4 linked regions of the Saccharomyces cerevisiae S288C genome follow. The protein of the gene in region 3 binds, or shares a complex with, the protein of the main gene of each other region. Each region holds a gene or a part of one and is shown on either strand. Other genes may lie near its edges.

Evidence for each region.
Region 1: MNP1 (region 3) and MRPL35 share a complex: the UniProt entries of both Saccharomyces cerevisiae proteins name them as parts of the mitochondrial large ribosomal subunit.
Region 2: MNP1 (region 3) and YML6 share a complex: the UniProt entries of both Saccharomyces cerevisiae proteins name them as parts of the mitochondrial large ribosomal subunit.
Region 4: MNP1 (region 3) and MRPL4 share a complex: the UniProt entries of both Saccharomyces cerevisiae proteins name them as parts of the mitochondrial large ribosomal subunit.

Annotation. Positions count from the first base shown.
Region 1 is NC_001136.10:1,107,810-1,113,678, reverse strand, and holds MRPL35 (mitochondrial 54S ribosomal protein mL38 MRPL35), read right to left. Parts: upstream 3,091-5,869; coding exon 1,987-3,090; downstream 1-1,986. Other genes in the region: PEP7 (phosphatidylinositol-3-phosphate binding protein), read left to right, coding at 1-1,199; TIM11 (F1F0 ATP synthase subunit e), read left to right, coding at 1,386-1,676; asparaginase ASP1, read right to left, coding at 3,832-4,977; DAD4 (Dad4p), read left to right, coding at 5,181-5,399; auxilin-like protein SWA2, read left to right, coding at 5,578-5,869. UniProt on the Saccharomyces cerevisiae protein: Component of the mitochondrial ribosome (mitoribosome), a dedicated translation machinery responsible for the synthesis of mitochondrial genome-encoded proteins, including at least some of the essential transmembrane subunits of the mitochondrial respiratory chain.
Region 2 is NC_001145.3:221,638-227,209, forward strand, and holds YML6 (mitochondrial 54S ribosomal protein uL4m YML6), read right to left. Parts: upstream 3,729-5,572; coding exon 3,702-3,728; intron 3,603-3,701; coding exon 2,769-3,602; downstream 1-2,768. Other genes in the region: YOX1 (Yox1p), read left to right, coding at 1-926; 40S ribosomal protein uS13 RPS18B, read right to left, coding at 1,350-1,743, 2,145-2,191; 40S ribosomal protein eS17 RPS17A, read left to right, coding at 4,252-4,254, 4,653-5,060; Smc5-Smc6 complex subunit NSE5, read right to left, coding at 5,357-5,572. UniProt on the Saccharomyces cerevisiae protein: Component of the mitochondrial ribosome (mitoribosome), a dedicated translation machinery responsible for the synthesis of mitochondrial genome-encoded proteins, including at least some of the essential transmembrane subunits of the mitochondrial respiratory chain.
Region 3 is NC_001139.9:372,602-377,508, reverse strand, and holds MNP1 (mitochondrial 54S ribosomal protein bL12m MNP1), read right to left. Parts: upstream 2,423-4,907; coding exon 1,838-2,422; downstream 1-1,837. Other genes in the region: NPY1 (NAD(+) diphosphatase), read right to left, coding at 254-1,408; DNA-directed RNA polymerase II core subunit RPB9, read left to right, coding at 2,682-3,050; DNA-binding transcription factor AFT1, read right to left, coding at 3,425-4,907. UniProt on the Saccharomyces cerevisiae protein: Component of the mitochondrial ribosome (mitoribosome), a dedicated translation machinery responsible for the synthesis of mitochondrial genome-encoded proteins, including at least some of the essential transmembrane subunits of the mitochondrial respiratory chain.
Region 4 is NC_001144.5:1,010,357-1,015,950, forward strand, and holds MRPL4 (mitochondrial 54S ribosomal protein uL29m MRPL4), read left to right. Parts: upstream 1-4,134; coding exon 4,135-5,094; downstream 5,095-5,594. Other genes in the region: ECM30 (Ecm30p), read right to left, coding at 1-889; DIF1 (Dif1p), read right to left, coding at 1,266-1,667; CAR2 (ornithine-oxo-acid transaminase), read left to right, coding at 2,145-3,419; U4/U6-U5 snRNP complex subunit LSM3, read right to left, coding at 3,553-3,822; SEC39 (Sec39p), read right to left, coding at 5,212-5,594. UniProt on the Saccharomyces cerevisiae protein: Component of the mitochondrial ribosome (mitoribosome), a dedicated translation machinery responsible for the synthesis of mitochondrial genome-encoded proteins, including at least some of the essential transmembrane subunits of the mitochondrial respiratory chain.

The sequences.
Region 1 (5,869 bases), on a different chromosome or scaffold from region 3:
AGTATGACCCCAGAAACGGGAAATGGTACAATTGCTGCCATGATTGTTTCGTCACAAAACCTGGCTATAACGATTATGGCGAAGTAATAGATTTAACACCAGAATTCTTTAAGGTACGAAATATAAAAAGAGAGGACAAAAACTTAAGGCTATTACAATTAGAAAATCGGTTTGTCCGTCTAGTTGATGGTCTGATTACACTCTATAACACATATTCTAGATCCATTATTCATAATTTGAAGATGAATAGTGAAATGTCCAAGTTAGAACGTACAGTTACTCCATGGAGAGATGATAGAAGTGTACTCTTTTGTAACATATGTTCCGAACCATTTGGGCTATTACTAAGGAAGCATCACTGCAGATTATGTGGTATGGTTGTTTGTGATGATGCAAACAGGAACTGCTCAAACGAAATAAGCATAGGTTATTTAATGTCTGCAGCGTCAGATCTGCCATTCGAATACAATATACAGAAGGATGATTTACTTCATATTCCTATATCCATAAGATTGTGCTCGCACTGTATCGATATGCTATTTATTGGCAGGAAATTTAACAAGGACGTTAGAATGCCGCTAAGTGGAATATTTGCTAAATATGATAGCATGCAAAATATATCCAAAGTAATTGATAGTCTCCTGCCCATTTTTGAAGACTCATTGAATAGCCTGAAGGTGGAGACTGCCAAGGATTCTGAAAATACACTTGATCCAAAGAATCTGAATGATCTCGCTCGATTAAGACATAAATTACTCAATTCTTTTAACTTGTATAATACACTAACAAGACAGCTCTTAAGTGTAGAACCTCAAAGTCATCTAGAGAGACAACTTCAAAATTCGATCAAGATAGCTTCCGCTGCATACATAAACGAAAAAATCCTACCGTTGAAGTCGCTTCCGGCAATTTTGAACCCAGAGGGCCATAAAACGAATGAAGATGGGCAAAAAGCTGAACCAGAGGTAAAGAAATTATCGCAACTAATGATCGAAAACTTGACCATAAAAGAAGTGAAAGAGCTGAGAGAAGAATTGATGGTCCTAAAGGAACAAAGCTACCTTATTGAGTCCACAATTCAGGACTATAAGAAGCAGCGTAGATTGGAGGAGATCGTCACACTTAATAAGAACTTAGAAGAATTGCACTCAAGAATACATACCGTTCAATCGAAGCTGGGTGACCATGGGTTTAATTAAGACATATCTTTATTATTCGATCATTCGCGGAATCTCCACGCTAATTGGTCCGCGGAGCCAATCAGATCTATTTAAGGGTATAAATTTTTCTTTAGTTTTTTTGACTTTTCACACAGAAATTTTAGATAAAAGGAAGTATTATATCGGAACATAACGTATATAGGAACTAGCTGAGTGAGTTAAAGGATGTCGACAGTTAATGTTTTGAGATACTCTGCGTTGGGTTTGGGGCTATTTTTTGGTTTTAGAAATGATATGATTTTGAAGTGTAATGCTAAGAAGAAAGAGGAGCAGGCACAGTACGAGGAGAAATTGAAGCTGGTAGAGGAGGCAAAGAAGGAATACGCCAAGCTACACCCTGTAGTAACTCCTAAAGATGTGCCTGCGAACGCCTCATTTAATTTGGAAGATCCTAATATAGATTTTGAAAGAGTTATTCTTAACGCCGTTGAATCCCTGAAGGAAGCTTCAACATAAATAGAAGCTTCAACATAAATAGGATACTAAAAATGCACATTAGCTCGCACTGAATGACGAAGTTATGATGGATTCTCGTTCGCTAGATGTTCCATATTTTTTTCTTCATTCGTTAGTGCACAAACAATAAGGAAAAAAATGAAATGTATATATTCTAGAACATACTAATATCATACGTATCGTATTGTAAACAAAATTCACATTCCAAAAATTTTTCAGATTCTTACTTTATATTATTTGCATCAAGCTTTATTAACAATGACACGTTATTTTATATGTACAGGATACTATAATGTCATACTATTTAGGATCACCTTCTAACTCTGCTAAAAACCCTTCCAGGTGGTAGGCCATATTTTTCTCTGACGGCGGCGACTTTGGCATCCCATTCGCTTCTCCAGATATGTGCCCCAATAGCGGTTAGATTGTATTTCTTCGTAAATTGCCTGATATCAAAATCATCTCTACTTAGTTCCTTTCGGTCAATCTCTAACATGTTAGGACCTTGCTTATCCTCGATTAAGGGTTGTCTGAATACCCAAACAACGAATCTCTGTTTTCCAGCATTCTTTTCAGGTACCGGAGGTAAGTAGTCAGCGATAATATTAGAACTGTGGAACTTTCTTGGATCTATTAAATTGTCATTATAAGTCAAATTAATATTCACCAATCCGTAACACAAAGCCGTTTTAAATGAGTCATTACTCAAATCTGGAACATCAGGATTGACTATCAGTACCGTATACAATTGTTTTTCAACGTTCACAAGTTCATATTCTTGAATTTTGAAAATGGGACGCATGGATGTGACATTGGACGATAGAAATTCACCAGGTTCGATCCACTTATTTACACCAGTAGAGAAGGGAAATTTGATATTCACTTCTGCCCGTGGAACCAGAGTTGGAAGAGTATCAGGAATGGCAGCCAACGTTTCTAACCTTTGCATCAATAACATCTGGCCGTACGATTCCCAATGTTGTTTCCCCAAATGTCTGTACACTGGCACATCATAATCTATTATATCCTTAACATTGTTCAACTTGTTATTAAACTGAAAATTGTATTGTACCTCAGGATTATTGATCTCTGCTTTTATGAGAAGTGCATCCTTCTTCAAGGGATTTTTAGTCTTATTGGCCAACTCATAAAACTTACTGGATCTTTGCTCAAGAAAATCATAACTCATCCTGAAAATCTCATCAATGTGTTCTGGAGGTGAATATTTGATACGGTTACTTCTTCTGCTGATAGATGGTGGGTCTAGAGAAGCTTTCTTCTGGAAAAGGTAATTTTTCACTTTTGAAGATTGGATAGAAAGTGAACTAGGCCTTGTGGTAAAGTCCGACCAAATATGCGAAGTAGCATTAGGTTTTTGGAGGATTTTAGTGGTATGAATAGATCTTCGTAACATAGTTCGGCAGTGACCTTGATTTCTGTAAAGATCTCTGAATAAGCTTTTTGCTGTAGTCTGATATTGTATTGGATACTGTTGTCTTATCCCAGACCTTCCGGCTTCCGGTTTAGCCCGGAAAATTTGAAAAGACTGCGACAGTAAATCCCAAACACATAAGAAAATAAAAAAAGGAATACATAAACAAAAATGGATATATAAAGGCTAATTTTTTTTTGTTTATCAAATATTCCTTATTTTTTAACTTTCTTAAAAATATTTAAACACCAGATTTCGAAAAAAGTAATATTTATTCTTTAAAAATGCGGTGACCAGCGGGCGATGATAATCAAATATTTAAAAATGATATAATGATAAAACTTGAATTATTTTTATAGGAAAAGTGGAACCAAAAGATTTTCTAATGCACTGATATCATGAGCAGTTAATGAAAAATTATTAATATTATTTTTTTTATATTTTTATTCAAAAATAACATTCAAAATTTAATTTTAATAAACTCATTTAAAAAAAACCTCTAAAAACATGAAGATAGAACTATAATAACGGCTTCAGTATTCAAGACAAAGCCATGTGCAGGTGAAACGATAGAAAAGTGACATAGCCGAGACAATCTAAATGAAGAATTCCTGTACTCATCTCAGACTAGCATTAACAGGGACTTGCATAATTATATCTCTATCTCTGTGTCTATGTATATATATATATATATCGACACAAATGCAAAAAATTACAAAATTTTCACCCACCATAGACGCCAGTGAAAACATGTTTAATTTCTTCCAACGTGTAGTTACCTGCCAAACATAATTGTAACAAGATTCTGCTCTTTTCAGGGCTTAGATAACCAGATGCGATGAGATTATCCTCCTTTGAACCTTTCTTTGGTACGTTGGCAATAGGCACCATACCATCCATCGATCTCTTGGAATATACGATCGGCAAACTCAATTTCATGCAGGTTTCATTGACCTCCTCCGGCAATGAACCAGCACCCATGGTAGCAAGAACAATACCATCATACTTATCTGCCACTAAGTTGACTATAGCTGGCGGAAAGGCTTGGTGAGCATATAAAATGCAAACCTCTGGTAATTTAAAATGCTTACCGTCCACTCTCAGTTTGAATTTGTGGCAACCTTGCGGTTTCACAGGAGGATAATAGTAGTGAATTTCATTGTTGACAAAATTTCCTAAATAGCCTTGTCTAACATTAAAAGAATCCAAACTATTTGCATTCGTCTTAGTAATGTAGTAACCAGAGGAAATTTGGTCATTCAAGGAAACAAGAACACCTCTTCCTCTAGATTTTGGATTTGAAGCAATGCAAATTGCTTGGTAAAGGTTCATAGGGCCATCAGCAGAAACGCTGGTTGAAGGACGCATCGAACCAACAAAAACAATAGGAACGTCGCCAGCATCAATAGTACTTTCAATAAAGAATGCAGTTTCAGATAGCGTATCAGTCCCATGGGTAATAACTATACCGTCAAAAGCCTGCAACGATTCTGAGACGCCCTTATAAATTTTATAAAGAATATCCTCGTTTATGTCTTTAGAATCCACGTTGCATAGTTGCTCATATTCAATGTCACAGACCTTGGATATATCTGGAATGGCATCCAATAGATCTTGGATGGTCAGGTCAACATGATAGCCGGCAGTTTGAGAGGAGTCTATAGCTTTCGATGCAATAGTACCACCGGTACCCAAGATTTTGATTCTTGGTAAGCTACGTTGTTGGCAAGCGATGCCGCTGCCATTCACAGCGGCATTTTGAGACTTTAGAATCTCTGGAATAGTCTCTGGACAGTTGCTTTGCACAACAAACTGAGAATTTTCAACATCTGGGCAGATGGTAGTGATTTCAACTGAATCGCTTTTCATGATACGCTTCCAAAAGTGCGATGAGAGTGCTGTTATCCTCCACTGTCTTCAAACACATTTCTTCAACAAAGTCATCGTCATCATCTTTTTTTTTTTTTTTTCATCGAGTATTTTTTCACACGAACGGCACAAGTAGCCTTCAACTGTAATAAACAAAAGCAGATAGGGAGGAAAAGAAGTGAGTTTAGGAAAGAAAGCATAACATGGAGAACCCTCATGAACAAGTGCAGGCTAACATACTTTCGCGAATAATTGGTAATGTCAAAAGGCTCAATGAGAGCGTGGCAATTCTTAACCAGGAGCTTGTGACCATTAATAATCGGAACAAAAATCTAGAAATCATGGGCGCAATTTGTGATAACTACCATAGTAGCGTCCAATTCAACCTGGAAGCGACCAATAACAAGAAGCCACCTCTTTAATTCACCAATTTTCTATATACGCATACTCATATACACATATATATATGCTATACCGTTTCTAATATATTCATTTAAGATCACTGTTTCCTGCGAAAAGGAGAAAAAAATAACAGCACATCGCTTAACCTATTCCTGTGCTTCTGGAAAGGACGCAGCCTGCAAGAAACAGTCAACATCAATGTCAGATCCATTTGCACATTTACTGACTTCTTTGAAGAATAAGGACTCTGCATCTGCATCCAAGGAAACAACTCCTCAGAGCAGCAATTCGCCTTCCATTACTGGTTCCGCTGTTGCAGATGTTGCAAGGACGGATAAAAGCCCCAATGATAGTCTGCATTCAATTTCAGCTCCTCCGCTGATACCGTCACCGAAGGTAGATTTTTCTGCACCTCCTTTGGTCCCAACTAATAGCACCACTAAATCTAATACTGCCAACAACACACCTCCCTCGGCTCTTGCCAATACCG
Region 2 (5,572 bases), on a different chromosome or scaffold from region 3:
GTGATGACATGCTCAAGCACACGCAATCAGACTCAGCCCTCTCATCTCAGTTGAATAGTTCTCAAGAAACAGTTGATGAATCACACGAAAACCTTCTACTGACTCCCCTAAATAGCAAAAAGAGAGATTATTCGGTTTCTTCAAAGAAAAACGACATATTAACACCACTCTCTGCAGCGAAGTCGATTATTATCCCCTCTGCCTCTAAGGAAAAAAGACGTGCATTTGCTTTCATCACACACTCGCAGGAGACCTTCCCTAAGAAGGAGCCTAAGATCGACAACGCTCCACTAGCACGCCGAAAGAGAAGAAGAACCTCGTCCCAGGAACTATCTATTCTTCAGGCTGAATTTGAAAAATGTCCTGCTCCATCGAAGGAGAAACGAATTGAGTTAGCTGAATCTTGCCATATGACTGAAAAAGCCGTTCAAATATGGTTCCAGAATAAAAGACAAGCGGTTAAAAGGCAGAGAATCGCCACTTCGAAGTCAACCACTATAATACAAACGGTATCTCCACCATCTCCGCCTCTGGACGTTCATGCTACGCCACTAGCATCCAGAGTCAAGGCGGACATACTTCGTGATGGAAGCTCATGTTCTCGTTCTTCCTCTTCTTCACCGCTGGAAAATACGCCGCCAAGGCCTCATCATTCCCTAAATAGGCGCTCATCCACACCAAGCATAAAGAGAAGCCAGGCTTTAACATTCCATCTAAACCCACAAAAGAAGACGTTGACTCCCGTGAAAACGTCTCCCAACAGCAGAGTAAATAAATTGATCAATAGCATAGATCATTCTCCATCCAAAGCCAAGCGTCCGGTAAGCAATCCCTCCGGCTCCCCTAAAAGGAAGAGAAAATTCGGATTCAAGATCGTCGATCAACAACCGTTGAAGGATCTTGATCCGAACGCTTTCCGTGGTTGATCTAATCTCTAGTCATTATTTATTCGCAAATTCATTTCCCTATACGGCATTCATACATATCATTGTTCACTTCAGTCCTAGCATATATCATAAAATATACAATTGTTTTCTAATTACCTTACGTTTTTTAAAAGACTTCTATAACACCTCTTTTAACTTTACATGTAGTCAAAATAAAGTGCAGTTCCATCGATGGTACTTTCTCACCCCGGTTGAGTGATGTTAACGATGTTTACCGTATAAAACTTAATTATATTATATCTTTTTTTGCTTATATGTTATACATAGAATAAAAAGTTGATTAAACACACATTGGTCTGAAAACACGTGTAGTACTTTCTCCTTTGAAGAATAAAAAAAGAAAATAAAGATAATAAAAACGAAAATAGCGTACAATTATTACTGATAATTTCCTTAATTGATTTAAGCTCTTCTTCTACCAGTGGTCTTGGTGTGTTGACCTCTAACACGTAAACCCCAGAAGTGTCTAATACCACGGTGGGCTCTGATCTTCTTTAATCTTTCCAAGTCATCTCTCAACTTGGATTCGACGTTGTTAGCCAAAGTGTGGTAGTCCTTACCATCAGTAATGTCGTTTTGACGGTTTAAGAACCAGGCTGGGATCTTGTAATGAGTTGGGTTTTGCATGATTTGGACAATTCTTTCCAATTCTTCTTGGGTCAATTCACCAGCTCTCTTGTGCAAATCAACATCAGCCTTCTTACAGACCAAGTTGGAGTAACGACGACCAACACCCTTAATAGTGGTCAAAGCGTAAACAATTTTAATGTTACCATCGACATTGGTGTTCAACAAACTGATTGTAATGGGCGCACAAAAAATTGTACATCTTATTGTTAGTAATTTATTTCACACCACTGCTAGGTTCTTCGAGAAATTTTCAACATGGCGCATCATTTTGGAATGGCGTACGAACATGGAGGGACGATAAATATGAATTTGTCAAGCTGTATTGACTGAAATTTTTAAATTCGCATTGAGTCATATATTGTATTTTCCAATAAACTGTGTATTACTTTAAAATCTAGTGATAATTTTTATAGTAGCGTAGAGTTAATTCGGCCTCGTATTTGGTAACCCGTGACGTTTATTATTCCATCGGAGTGCACTCACATATTTTCAATCGCAATATTAAGCTATTATCCCATGTAATGTGAAACTCTCTCAACATATCTGCACTGTACTCGTAAAACATACCGTAAAATGTGTTGGAAGGAACCTTGTTCTTGTACAACTAAAGACATCTTTACCACTTTCTGCTCTATTGGCTTTTCGTAAGATCGGTTTTTCACTAATAGTATATCTTTAACAATGTTAAAGTACCTGATATTGTTATTACTAAGGACCTTTTCCAGTTAGGATAGCAAAGGTGTCAGAATTACCATAGCCCAGGCATCAACCAGTTTCCGCGCAAGAATTCTCCTCCTCCCGGAACAAGAGGCCTGCGGAGACGAGTTCTTTGCCTCTGAAAGGCGAATCTCTGGAAGGATGAGCTTGGATGGCCCCAGTAAACGCATTTGCCTAGGTTGAGCCGAGCTAGGAGGACACCCCGACGGATAATTTAGCCCTTTTCCAATTTTTCAAAAAAACATGAAATTTCAAAAAAATGTATGGATGTAAAATTCAGTAGTGTGTACGGATTTTACAGTTTCTTGAATGAGACTTGCTTTTACGTCAAATCATTCTGAATTATACAATTCTTTCATTGTGAGATTGATATTTCATGGGCTTATTATTTACAGATTATTTTTTAAATATGTAGATGGAATAATAACTGGATGGGGTAGAAGAAGGGGTCACTTGTATGTGTACATATGAAAATCAGTTAGACACGGAGTGAAGGATTTCTTTCTGATGGGCCATTGCTAGATATTCAAGAGCTTCCAATTCGATAAAAACAGCTTGGGCTCTTAGTATGTCATTTACCTCAACAAGTTCTTTCTGTATAACATCTACTTTTTGTTTGTATGGATCAGAACTCTTTATCAGCCCTTCCCTAGTCTTGTCTGTAATGAAAAGTAATCTCTTACCTTTAAGTTGAAATTCCTCCAAGAATTTTCTGAAGATGACTTCGCCCTCAAAAATCTCTTTGCCCTCAACTGTGTTTGTATTCACAAGATCCAGCCTGTTCAAGTCGAGTTCTGGTGTGGGAGATATTAAGTCGACCTTTTCACCACCAATAACAAACAACTTTCCACTTTTATATTGGTGGCTCAAAGCGTTGTTGAAAGCCATGGAATAAACCTTGGATGGTAGCTCTGTAGTATAGTCGTTTGGTGCAGTTCTTGCCAATGCCCTACCACCATTATGTCTTGTTGGAGAGTTAGCATCCCCGACTCTTGCCCTACCAGAACCCTTTTGGGGCATCAATTTACGTCTGGAAAACCCGTTTTCACTTCTCCCGGGAGGATTTGAGGCGCCTACTCTTCTATTATCGTTTTCATAAACTACGGCTCTCCATAGTATATCACGCCTTAATGGAGCAGCTACAGTTGATGTGGGGACCGGCACAAATGTCAATGGTTCTAATGATGGAAAGGAGCGAACGGTAACTAAGGCGTATTTGGGAGGAATGGCTGCGTTTGGCAGAGGGTTTAACGTGGATTCTGCATGTGCGGTGGCAGTGGTAGCTTGGTAGCGTATAGATTGTAAAGTCTATTGCATAAAATGGTTGTAATGTTAGTATACGGATTCATCTTCAGAAAATCGACAACCAAATGGAAAAAGAGCGAGGGACGATCCTCTGATACGTACTTTCACCAAATTTCTTTTTATCGTCATTATTATTATTTCACCCTAGTTGAACGAAAGATTATTCGCATTGGCGTCCTTTGAATGTATCTCCCCCATTATTAATGGAACCTCTGTATTATACTTTTCTATTTCGAACTTTTTGAGACTCATTCTTGGTATCCCAGGGTGACCCAGTAACCTTTTTTCCGGTTTAACATCCGTGCATTACATCCGTACATTCTATTTTTTATTTTCCAAAAAACTGGGAGTTCTACTTAATTTTTTGGCCCCGTTTGGGAATCTGCTTTGCCACAGGAGGCGGCCTGTCCAGGAGGACAATAGACCAATGGCAGAGACGAGGTTTGTTGGGTACGTGCAACAGCGCCTGGGCTCAGCCGGCTTGCTGTGGGCAACGGAATGGTGCTTCCTAAGCCAATCTTTCATGCTGTAGCTATCGTCGTGATCGCTTTTACTGGCATATTAGCGTAATATGTATGAAATTAGGTATTAATCAAGCATTAATCGACTTAATTCTAAGAAAAGTCAAGATCTCGAGACTAGCAATAACAAAATGGTATGTTAATATGGACTAAAGGAGGCTTTTAAGGACACGTAATATTGAGTCGACATGCGCAATAAAGTCATACAATAAATAAGTTAAAGAAAACATATGACGATATTTTCAGACGATATGGAACTGCGATACCGAAAAAGTGGTGTGATTGAAATGATACTCATGTTTTGGCTATAGTTGCAGTGGCTTTCCAAAAAATTGGGAGTTAAAATGCCTATAGCAGTATCACCGGAGATTCAGTCTCTTGTGGATCTTCTTTTTGCATAGTTGAACAAGGGATAATATGGCGCCATGAACTGCCTCTACACATTATAATGTGTTTTTGATATCAGTATACTAACAAGTTGAATTGCATTTACAAACTTTTTATTTTGTATTGCTTTTCGTCATTTTAATAGGGTAGAGTTAGAACCAAGACCGTCAAGCGTGCTTCTAAGGCTTTGATTGAACGTTACTATCCAAAGTTGACTTTGGATTTCCAAACCAACAAGAGACTTTGTGATGAAATCGCCACTATCCAATCCAAGAGATTGAGAAACAAGATTGCTGGTTACACCACCCATTTGATGAAGAGAATCCAAAAGGGTCCAGTTAGAGGTATCTCTTTCAAATTGCAAGAAGAAGAAAGAGAAAGAAAGGACCAATACGTCCCAGAAGTCTCTGCTTTGGACTTGTCTCGTTCTAACGGTGTTTTGAACGTTGACAACCAAACTTCTGACTTGGTTAAATCTTTGGGTTTGAAGTTGCCATTATCTGTTATCAACGTTTCTGCCCAAAGAGACAGACGTTACAGAAAGAGAGTTTAAAATTAAATTAGAAAGCTATTTAAAATAATTTACTATTCAAAATATTTGCCTTTTCTTTTTTAATTTTTGTTTATTCTTTAATGTATAATTAAATAAAAAAATATTATTATATTTACTAATTAAGAGCGAAGCGTTTTATGTAGCTCCTTGGCCATACATACATTGCGCGCAATGTTTATGCTTTGATACCAAAGGGCTATCATCTTTGACTTGGAATTATTTATATTTTTTAACATTGACTCTGTTTCCTTTCTTACTCATTATACTTATCCAGAAAAAATAGAAAAATTAGTTACTTATTCTATAATTACACTTTTATCATGAACGCCAAACATTTGGGAGACTATGGGATACAATAAAGGCGGATCATTTCCTAAGTTAAGCGCCTTGGCCCACTGTCGCCTCCCTGAATCATTTTTCTCAATCGCATGTAACATTTCTAACTGTTCCTTAGCGTCTAATATCGCTTCGGTCCCGATCAAATGCAGAAGATATCGTAGTAGGACCAGTAG
Region 3 (4,907 bases):
ATATCAAAAAGGTTCTAAATAGTAATTTAGAAATTATTTTACAGCTATGAACAACTATATACGCTCTTCAGCTCCACTTTCTTCTGTTCGTAATGATTTTTGTTTCAAAATTGCTTGTACCAGCAATCTAACATCCTATATTCATTCATTTAGCATTTGCATTATGACGCACCTCTGTTTTCTTCGGGTAACTGAGTGAAAAATATCCATATGCTGAAGCACGCCTATTTATCAATGTTTATTATATTAAAAACTATAGATGGCTCGATGAGGTCTTACGTAAGTTTTTATAGTTCTCGCAAACATGATTGATTAATTGGAAGGCAATGGTAGTACTTCCAGGTAAATTGATATCATTTTTGAATGGAACACGATACCCGCCGGCGTACTTATCCAAAGCTTGAATGATTTCAGTTGTATCAAACCATTGAGCATCCAATAATTCGTCGTCATGATTCAGGTTGATAACCTCATTTTTGGAATTGAATTGAACTATGCCTAAACAGCCAATCATCAAACTGCAAGGGTAAGGCCAGGGCTGTGACCGGACTATATCAATATTTTTGCATGAAATGCCTGTTTCCTCCCATATTTCTCTGATACAAGCCTCCTCTATGGTTTCTGATGGCTCCATAAAACCTGCTATTGTTGAATACAATACAAAATCACCGTACCTTTTTTTTGATCTTGCCAGACAACACTTAGAGTAATCCGAATTGGTCAAGGCTATAATGACCGTTGGATCAGTTCTTGGGAAGCAAACGTTATTAATTCTTGCATCTCTCACATTACAGTATACATTCCGATTTTCATTAGAACACTGAAGCTTAGTTCCTGCCTCTACTGGGAATAACGGAGACCCACAACCGGGACAGAATTTGTACTTTGCTAGCCAATCCAGATACATCTTACCTTGTGAATAAAGTGAAGCATCCTCATTTGTTTGTTTGAAAATGTGATCTCTGGTCACCTTCGGATAGGAAAAAATAGGCTCAAAGTCGACTTTCTTGAAGAGTGTGCTCTCAGTAACACGGATATCTAATCCAAAATATGGTGTTCCTTTGTAAGAAATATTAGACCATTCAAAATTAAATGCAGAATCTGTGCCTTCCAGGAGACCTAAAAATGTTACATTGATGCCTGATTCATCGCTTCTTGAGCGAGTTGTGTTCAATAAAGTAGTGTATAAAGGAACTATTGCTGACAAAATATTCTTGTAAGACTTTACAGAATTAGAAAGCTGAACTAGGTCACCATTTTCGGGCGAAATGAGGGCTTCCCCTTCGATAAATGGGATAAAAACGGTAGAGTCATGGTTCAATGATTTTTTGATGAACTCTTTCGAACATCTTAAGAACGAAACTCTGTTCAAGACATGCTGGCCAAAAAAAGTCACAGCAGTGGACATTCTCTCAACTAACCGTAGCGTAATCAAAAAAAAATCAGGAGCAAAAAGGTACAATCTTTATCTTCTCTTTCGTTTCGCTCCTGCTCTTGTTCTTTATTCTTATGGTTGGTGGGCTTTATATTTCGAAGAAAAGCAACCGCTTTTGTAAGTTGGAAAAGTAGATTTATGAAGTGATAGATTAGCCCGTCTGAAATACTTATAACACGAAAACGAATGCCATAATGAAGTTGAAGATACTATAGAAAATAATAAGGAAATCAATCATTTTTATACATCTACTTGCAAGAAGCGATGTGGCAAAATATATAAAAGGCAGGACGAAAGAAGAATAAAGAGTTAAACATATTTACATGATATATTCCTTATTTTCTCGAAGAGAAAACAGACTATTTTGATTAACACGATTGGTAGATTGCTACAGTTTTAAAATCATTCTAAACTGACCTTAGCTCCTAAGTCTTCCAAGGTTTTCTTAATCTTTTCAGCATCATCCTTGGCGACATTTTCTTTCAAGACCTTTGGTGCAGCTTCAACGAATTTCTTAGCTTCAACTAATGAAAGCCCCAATAATCCCTTGACTTCCTTGATGACTTTAGCCTTAGTCTTCGTGTCGAACGAGTCCAACTTCACCGTAAACACGGTCTTTGCCTCAGGCTTAGCTTCTTCTTCAGCACCACTACCAGCTTCACCAGTGGAGCTAGGTACATTACCAGCACCTGCGCCTGCAGCGCCTGCCATGAATCCGCCCATAGGCATGGAAATTTCTGGAATGTTCAATACGGTTTTCAGCTCGTTGATTAAACTGGAAGTTTCCAAAAGAGTCAATTGTGAAATGTCCTGTACAATTTTAGAAATTTTAGGATCAACTGGCCTTACATCATCCTTATGTGATGGTGCTGTTGTAGTCGTAGAATTGAAACGGGTTGTGATAGTAATAGGAGAAATTAGCGCTGGTGTAACGCGCGTTTTCATCCAGATAGAAGAAGATCTCTTCGCTAGTATACGTAAGGACATACTGGGCGCTTATTTAATTGACTGTGTTTGCTGCTGACGGGCTGCTTGTCCTGTTCCTTCCAGAACTTACCGAGTTCTTGTTTGCCATTAGTTTGAGTTGTTTTATTGGACTTCAAGACATAGGGCGGGTAAGTTGAAAAATTTTGTTTTGGTGAATAGCGTTAAAGAGTAAGTCAAATGGAACAAGAGCAGATTCTAGGTAGAACGAAAGTTACAAAATCTAGCCAAAAGAGCAAGTTAAACTCCCCTTAAAACTGCTATGACTACGTTTAGATTTTGTCGTGACTGCAACAATATGTTGTACCCTCGTGAGGATAAAGAAAATAACCGGTTGTTATTTGAATGCAGAACATGCTCGTATGTAGAAGAAGCGGGCAGTCCATTGGTCTACAGGCATGAATTGATTACCAACATTGGTGAAACTGCGGGAGTGGTGCAAGATATTGGTTCCGATCCCACTCTTCCGAGATCTGATAGAGAATGTCCCAAATGTCACTCTCGGGAAAATGTGTTTTTTCAATCACAACAAAGAAGAAAGGATACTTCGATGGTTTTATTCTTTGTGTGCTTATCTTGCTCACACATATTTACTTCAGATCAAAAAAACAAAAGGACGCAGTTTTCATGAGTGCTCAACGAACTTTCAAAATTAATGACAGAGGGAGAGAAAATGGGACTTATCTTCACGTATGTCTTGTATGTATGAGAAAAGCACTACTATTTACACCAGCCTAATCTACCGGCAAAAGGATGATGTGAAATAACAGGGGGAAGGAACATGAAAAAATCCTGATCTTAGCACCGATATATGTAATATAATAAGAACGATTTTTTATCTGTAACAAAAGTAGAAAAAAGAATGTATACTATTGTTTTCTTTTTCTTCTTTAAAAAGTCAAAATTGTATAGATGCGTATATGTTCAGTATATAATTAATGAAGAAAGATGAAAATGTAATGAAAATGGACGAGAGATACGTCTAAGTTTGATTTCATCTATATGCTAATCTTCTGGCTTCACATACTTCAACTCGCCGTTCACCATTTTAATGTCTTTGAACTCTTCCAATAATGTGTTTCCCATTATTTCTAGCGATTCATGCGTTTGCATATCCTTTTGTACTGTTTGGTGCTGTTCGTGGTTATGGCCGTCGTGGGGCTGATTTTGGTGATATTGCAATTGCTGCGGTGGCTGCTGTTGCGGACCATATTGATGTGATCGTACTTGAGGTTCATTAGAGCTGAGATGACGATGGTCAACATGTTGAAAATCTATAGGATGTTGAGAACCGTGTGGGCCATTTTGTACAAATTTCAATTCGTCGAAGATTTTTGTTGAAGAGCTGCCAACTAAAGCTTCTTGTCTTAAAAGTGAGTTGCCCAGATCAGAAACGTTATGCTGAGTATTTAGCGAATGTGAATTGTTGTTTGGAACGCCGATGTTATTGTGGTTAGCAGCATCGGAGTGCGTCAAATATTGTAGAATATACTCATTATGTTCTTGGGAACTATTAGCAAATCTATCAATAATATCCTGGTTTTCCTGATGTGTTTCATTTGGGTCATGATGGACTGGGGGAGCACTACTAAGAATTTGGCTGAAATCTGCCTCTGAGTTCAAATATGGAGAATGAACAAAATCATCTGACTCTCCTTCAAATTCATTATTCGTGTTTGTAGTTAATGGAGAGAAGAGTATAGAGGAACAATCGTCCAATTGGTCGAAGACTTGTCTTGGATGGGTAGACCCGCTATGTGGATGCGGCGATTTGGTAAAAATGTTCGTAAAGTCAATTTCGTTCAAATTTGTTACAGTGTTTAGCTTGAAATCGGATGCCGGCAGTGGCAAGATTTCATTCAAATTGAAAGGATCATCAATATATCCTGAAAATGCTGTAGATGAGTGTTGCGAAGATGTTGGCGTACCGGTCTTACGCAGCCTTGATTTAGTTGTGAGAAAGTTCTGCATGGTGGTTCTTTTTAAGAGTGTGTCTTTATTCTTACACTGGCTTTTCGGTTTCCTTACGTTATTGGTATTGATACTACCGGTGTTATTTACAGAGGGTAAGCATGGCCTTTTAGATGCATTCGATGAATCAAGGGATATGGACGATACAGTTGAAGAGGATGCTGATGAAGTAACATTACTGTTAGTGGGCAATACGACATTGAAACTTTGTATTTCATTTGTTAAACCACAATCACAGGGGATTGTAGCTGTTGGAATGGGCAAATTGGCCAAAGTTCTGTATTCCAATTCGTCGAATTTCTTGATTGCATCTACGTCATTATCCTTTCTTAATTTTTCTTTGAATTTTTTGTACTCTTCGGAATCAGGGTTAAACTTTAGCTGATGTGAATGGTTATTGTCCATTACAACAATGCTCCATCTTTTCCTCTTTAACGAATAAGTAGCTCGTACTCTAAACGGACAGTTATTAAACCTCGATACACATCTTTTTTTCTTTGGCTTTATGGAGGATGTT
Region 4 (5,594 bases), on a different chromosome or scaffold from region 3:
TGCAATTTAATAGCGAGGAAGTGAATTGAATGCTTTTGTCCTTAGGCATTTGAGTACACCAGTAGACAAGAAACATGTTTATGTCCTGTTTACCGCCGCTCGTGTACAAGTCCGAAGAAAATAAAGCTGCCAAAAGACGTAAAAGAAGCAGTCTATTGGCAAAAAGATGCCACTGATGATGCATATTCAGTAGTGAGCGGTACTTGTTGGAATTAGTCAAGATGCCGATTTCCCACAATTCGCTTGGGTGGGCGGTCACGGCAGTTGTGAAATTATCTTGGAAAGCCAGTTTCAAGATCGCCAACAGTAGTCTTTCTCCCAGTGGGATGTTTTGCAAGGGAAGACCCTCAATTTCATGTTGCGTGGCCCAAAAGACATCGTAATGGTCCTGCGTGCTAGACTTGACCCGGTCAAAATAAATAGGTATGAGGATGGAAAGGGTCTTTATGGCGTTGATAAGCCGCGAAGAATGAAGTCCCGTACGGGAAGCGGGCAAGGAGTTCGCGGAAAGAATAATGTAGAGCGAAAGGAAGACAATCAAGTTGTTGAAGTTGGGTGGGTTCAAACTAGAGATAATGTGCAGGATTTTTTTAAAACTAGAGTTAATGCTGAAGTCCTGCACGTCCACTGATATGAAGTCCAAGTAAAAATCGTTGAAGACGGTATCTAGCGGGACATTTGGTTTGTCGCTGAACAACGCTTCAACGTCAGGCCCAGAATCCAGCTTAAAAATTGACAGGTTTAAACTCAACGGATCAGCATCAACTGAAAGGGAGGGCGAGGGCGACGACGTACGTGAAGGGGAGGACGCATCTGCGTCCTCCGGTCGAACCAGAGCGATGCAGTGGTTCAGCAGGATCGAACTGGATTTGGAGTCAGTATTTCCCATTATGCATAGCCTAAGGGAGAATTTTTATGGTTTGATTTGTGTGTATTTCTTTCTCTATTAGCTTTTTCTCTGATTTGTTTGCTTATCTACCTGTACGTGTATGTTGTGTACTCAATAAATAGAGGTCTTTTTTTTTTTTTTTCTCCATAGGTTTACCCGAAAGAAAAAACACCGAAATTAAGCACGTAAACCGGCGGAAAAGCAAGGAAAAACCCCCTGAAGCCAAAGCAACTGCGATAGTTTTTATTATTTGTTATATCCTCTATAAAAAATGTGCGAACAAGAGAAAAGACTATATAAAGAATCTATAAAAGAGAAAGTAAAGTAGGAAAAAGAGAGAAAAAAAGAGAGAGATAAAAAAAATTGTGCAAGTCTGTTAAAGTCTTCTCTTGGATCCATTAACCATTGTTTCGTGCTCCGCGGCAGGTTCCGCGACGTCCCATTTCTCGAGCGAGGACGCCTCGGTCGACATTGTTCTCTGGTTTATCAGCATAGGTGGTAGCGAGTTAGCAGTGGGCAAGGGCGACCTTGTAAATTGCGGAACAATAACGCTCGAGTAATCTCTAATGACACCCGGCTGTAGTGAAGCGTCCGAGGTGCTCGGCGTCCTCGATGCATAACCCTGGTCGACCCGCTGTCTGATTCGCATACCCACAGTCATCAACTGGTCCTTGTGGAAATCCTGTTGCTGCTGCTGCTGCTGCTCCTGTTGTTGTTGTTGTTGTTGAAGCTGTCTCTTTGGGACGAGGCTGCTTGCCCATTCCAGTTGTGCGTCCATTAAGTCTTGTTTGTTCCTGTATTAGTGTGTGATGTAAAGCGTGCGTTTCTTGATCTGGGTTCTCTTGCTGTTTCTTTTTCTTTGTTTTCTTCTCCAATCCTTGCCTGTTGCTACTAGATAAATAAATACCCCACTGGCGGGAAAAAGAAAAAGCACACACACAAACAAACGAGAAGAAAAAAGCGCGTGGTACGAGCCGCGCTAATGAGGAATAGAACCCATGCACCACACGCAAATGTGCGCACGGACAAATTCTGCCCTCTGTTAACGGCAGGACCTGGCGTCCCCTGCCGTTAGCGGCGCTAGCCGACGCCGTAGTCGCGTGCCCTTGCCCTTAGCGGCTGACTGGCTGACTCGATTGCATATATAAATTGCGGCCACCATACGTTGAGTCTTGTTGTTATATGGCGGTTGTTCGTATTACAGCAAAGGATACTACACCACAAGACACCACAGCAGCACAGAACCACAACACCAATGTCCGAAGCTACCCTCTCCTCCAAGCAAACCATTGAATGGGAAAACAAATACTCCGCCCACAACTACCACCCCTTGCCCGTCGTTTTTCACAAGGCTAAGGGCGCACATGTGTGGGACCCGGAGGGTAAGCTGTACCTCGACTTCCTGAGCGCTTATTCTGCCGTCAACCAGGGCCATTGCCATCCTCACATCATCAAGGCTTTGACGGAGCAAGCACAAACACTAACATTGTCCTCCAGAGCGTTCCACAACGATGTTTACGCGCAATTCGCCAAGTTCGTGACCGAATTCTTCGGGTTCGAAACCGTTTTGCCCATGAACACCGGTGCAGAAGCCGTGGAAACTGCTTTGAAGTTGGCCAGAAGATGGGGGTACATGAAGAAGAACATCCCTCAAGATAAAGCCATCATTCTGGGTGCCGAGGGTAACTTCCACGGGAGAACCTTCGGTGCTATCAGTTTGAGTACCGACTACGAGGACTCCAAGTTGCATTTCGGGCCTTTCGTGCCTAACGTTGCCAGTGGTCACTCCGTGCACAAGATCAGATACGGCCACGCAGAAGATTTCGTCCCTATCTTGGAATCTCCTGAAGGTAAGAACGTTGCCGCCATCATTCTAGAGCCAATTCAGGGTGAAGCCGGTATCGTCGTGCCCCCCGCAGACTACTTCCCAAAGGTCTCCGCATTATGCCGTAAGCACAACGTCCTATTGATCGTTGACGAAATTCAAACCGGTATCGGTAGAACCGGTGAGTTGCTTTGCTACGACCACTACAAGGCAGAGGCCAAGCCTGATATTGTTTTGTTAGGTAAGGCTCTCTCAGGTGGTGTTCTTCCCGTCTCATGTGTTCTGTCTTCTCACGACATCATGTCTTGCTTTACCCCAGGATCTCACGGTTCTACTTTCGGCGGTAATCCTTTGGCTTCCCGCGTTGCCATCGCCGCCCTCGAGGTCATCCGCGACGAGAAGCTGTGCCAAAGAGCCGCCCAACTGGGTAGCTCTTTCATCGCCCAATTGAAAGCTCTCCAAGCCAAATCTAACGGTATAATCTCTGAGGTGCGTGGTATGGGACTGCTTACCGCCATCGTAATCGACCCATCCAAGGCCAATGGTAAGACCGCTTGGGACTTGTGTCTATTGATGAAGGATCACGGCCTCTTGGCTAAGCCCACCCACGACCACATCATCAGATTGGCTCCTCCTTTGGTCATCTCCGAAGAGGACTTGCAAACCGGTGTCGAAACCATTGCCAAGTGTATCGATCTGTTATAATATTAATACGCATTTTTTTTATGTTTTCTCGTTTCTTTTCTTTTTTTTGTTTTATATCTTACACATTTTTAATATACTAAAAGTAAAATAAAAAAATACGTACTGTTTCCCTTTGTTTTCTCCTCCTCTTTGCTTATATCTCCACTGCGCCATCGTCATCTTCAGAGGGCGTGCTGATTAGAGTCACTGTGTCTCCTCTGATGAACACCATTTCACATCGTCTTTCGGACTCACTCAACTCCTCGTTGTTTAATTGGTATATGGTCTCTACTGCATCACTCAGCACGATGTTGCAGTGTGAGTCGAACGCTTGCAGTGTGCCCACCAGCGTCCTGGCCCCGCGCAGCTTGATGTACACCCTCTCATCGAGATTGAGTTTCAATAAATCCAAAGGTGTCTCCATTTTCTTGAGTGTGCGTGATGTTGTGTGTGTGTGTGTATTTATCTGCGTGTCTCTCCCCTGTTGTATTGGTTGCTAGAATGGATGGAAACATCCTGCCTCTTGTTTGTTCAAACCTCAGCTTTCTTGCTTTTTTTCTTCTTTCAATATCGCGACCTATCACACAGCACGGATAGCCAAAAGGGCGCATCAGGAAGAAGAAAAAATATCATTTCAGCAAACTAAAAGAATTGCCCTGAAAGCTATCGAGCCCTGGTAAGAGAGTACCATTCTATCTCTGCGGCTAGAAAAAAATACCATAAAAATATAATAAAAATGTGGAAGAGATCGTTCCACTCCCAAGGAGGGCCCCTGCGTGCCAGAACAAAGTTTACCAAACCAAAGCCAAAACAACCGGTGCTTCCCAAAGACAAAATAAGACCGCCCACTCAATTGACTCATCACTCCAACAACCTGAGGATTACCGAACCAATCCCACCAACAACCTCAAACCTGCGCTGTCCCGACGACCACCCGCTGTGGCAGTTCTTCTCCAACAAGAAATTCATCAGGTCCGCCGACGACTTGCCGCCTTCCAGCCATATCAGACCCTGGAGCATCCCAGAGTTGAGGCACAAGTCCTTTAACGACTTGCATTCCCTTTGGTACAACTGCCTCAGGGAGCAAAATGTGCTTGCTCGCGAAAACCATCTCTTGAAAAACATTGTTGGCTCCACGCATGACGAATTCAGTGAGCTCTCTAACTCTATCAGAACCACCATGTGGCAAATAAGACATGTACTTAACGAAAGAGAGCTGGCCTATAGCGCTTCACGCGAATTTTTACAGGATGAATCGGAGAGGAAAAAGTTCTTGGATACTTTGGCCAACGATTACTTCTTGAACAAGGATATCCCTGATGACGAAGTCGCCTCCATGCTCACACGATTCCAGTTGGCCATTTTCGGCATATCGGAAACCATCCAGGATAATACAGTCGACATTAACTTCATCGACGGGATCAAGTTCTTGGCAAACTTAAAACTACAGCGGTTCAAGGACTCCAATGACCTCATATCCGAAATATCACAAGAACCGATCACAGACGTGGGCGAGTCGTTCATCTTATTCACTTCCGACTTCGAACCTCATGCCGTTCAAGAGGCTTGTGTCGCCATCAAAGACCTGAGAAAGTCCCCAGATAATAAAGTCCCTAAATTAGACGAACTCCCCACCGTGAGAAAATACTTGAAACAGCTAATTCATGCAAGCTCCGTGGAGCAAGCAACTGCATGATTCCCGTGGGCTTCCTACCCTCTCTCCTGTAAATATATATATATATATATATCCACACACACTCGCACATACATACACACATACATACACCTTTATATAGCTATACGCTGTATGTATTCAGAAATTAGTCACGTTGTGGAAAATCTCCCTAGCAATGCCGCCTACCTTACTCTTATTGTCGTTCTGTCCGTCCAGTGCGTACTTGTCTTTCACCAGGTCACGGGCGCTTAGCTCCAATTCTAGTGTGCTCCATTGCGATGTAACAATTTCGACTTCCTCAAGGGGGCAAACCTCCAGTAAGCGGCCCAAGATGCTCATCTGCAGAACAATTATCTCTGTGGGAATTTCATTATCCACCCAATTTGGATCGACAAACTTCCCCATTTGATAAAATGTTAACCAATGCTCATCGCCCAACGCCTTCATCATATGTTGGCCCGCTTCTTGACAAATTTCAAACACTTGCTTGCCCAATTCGTATGCTGTGCCAAAATCTAAAT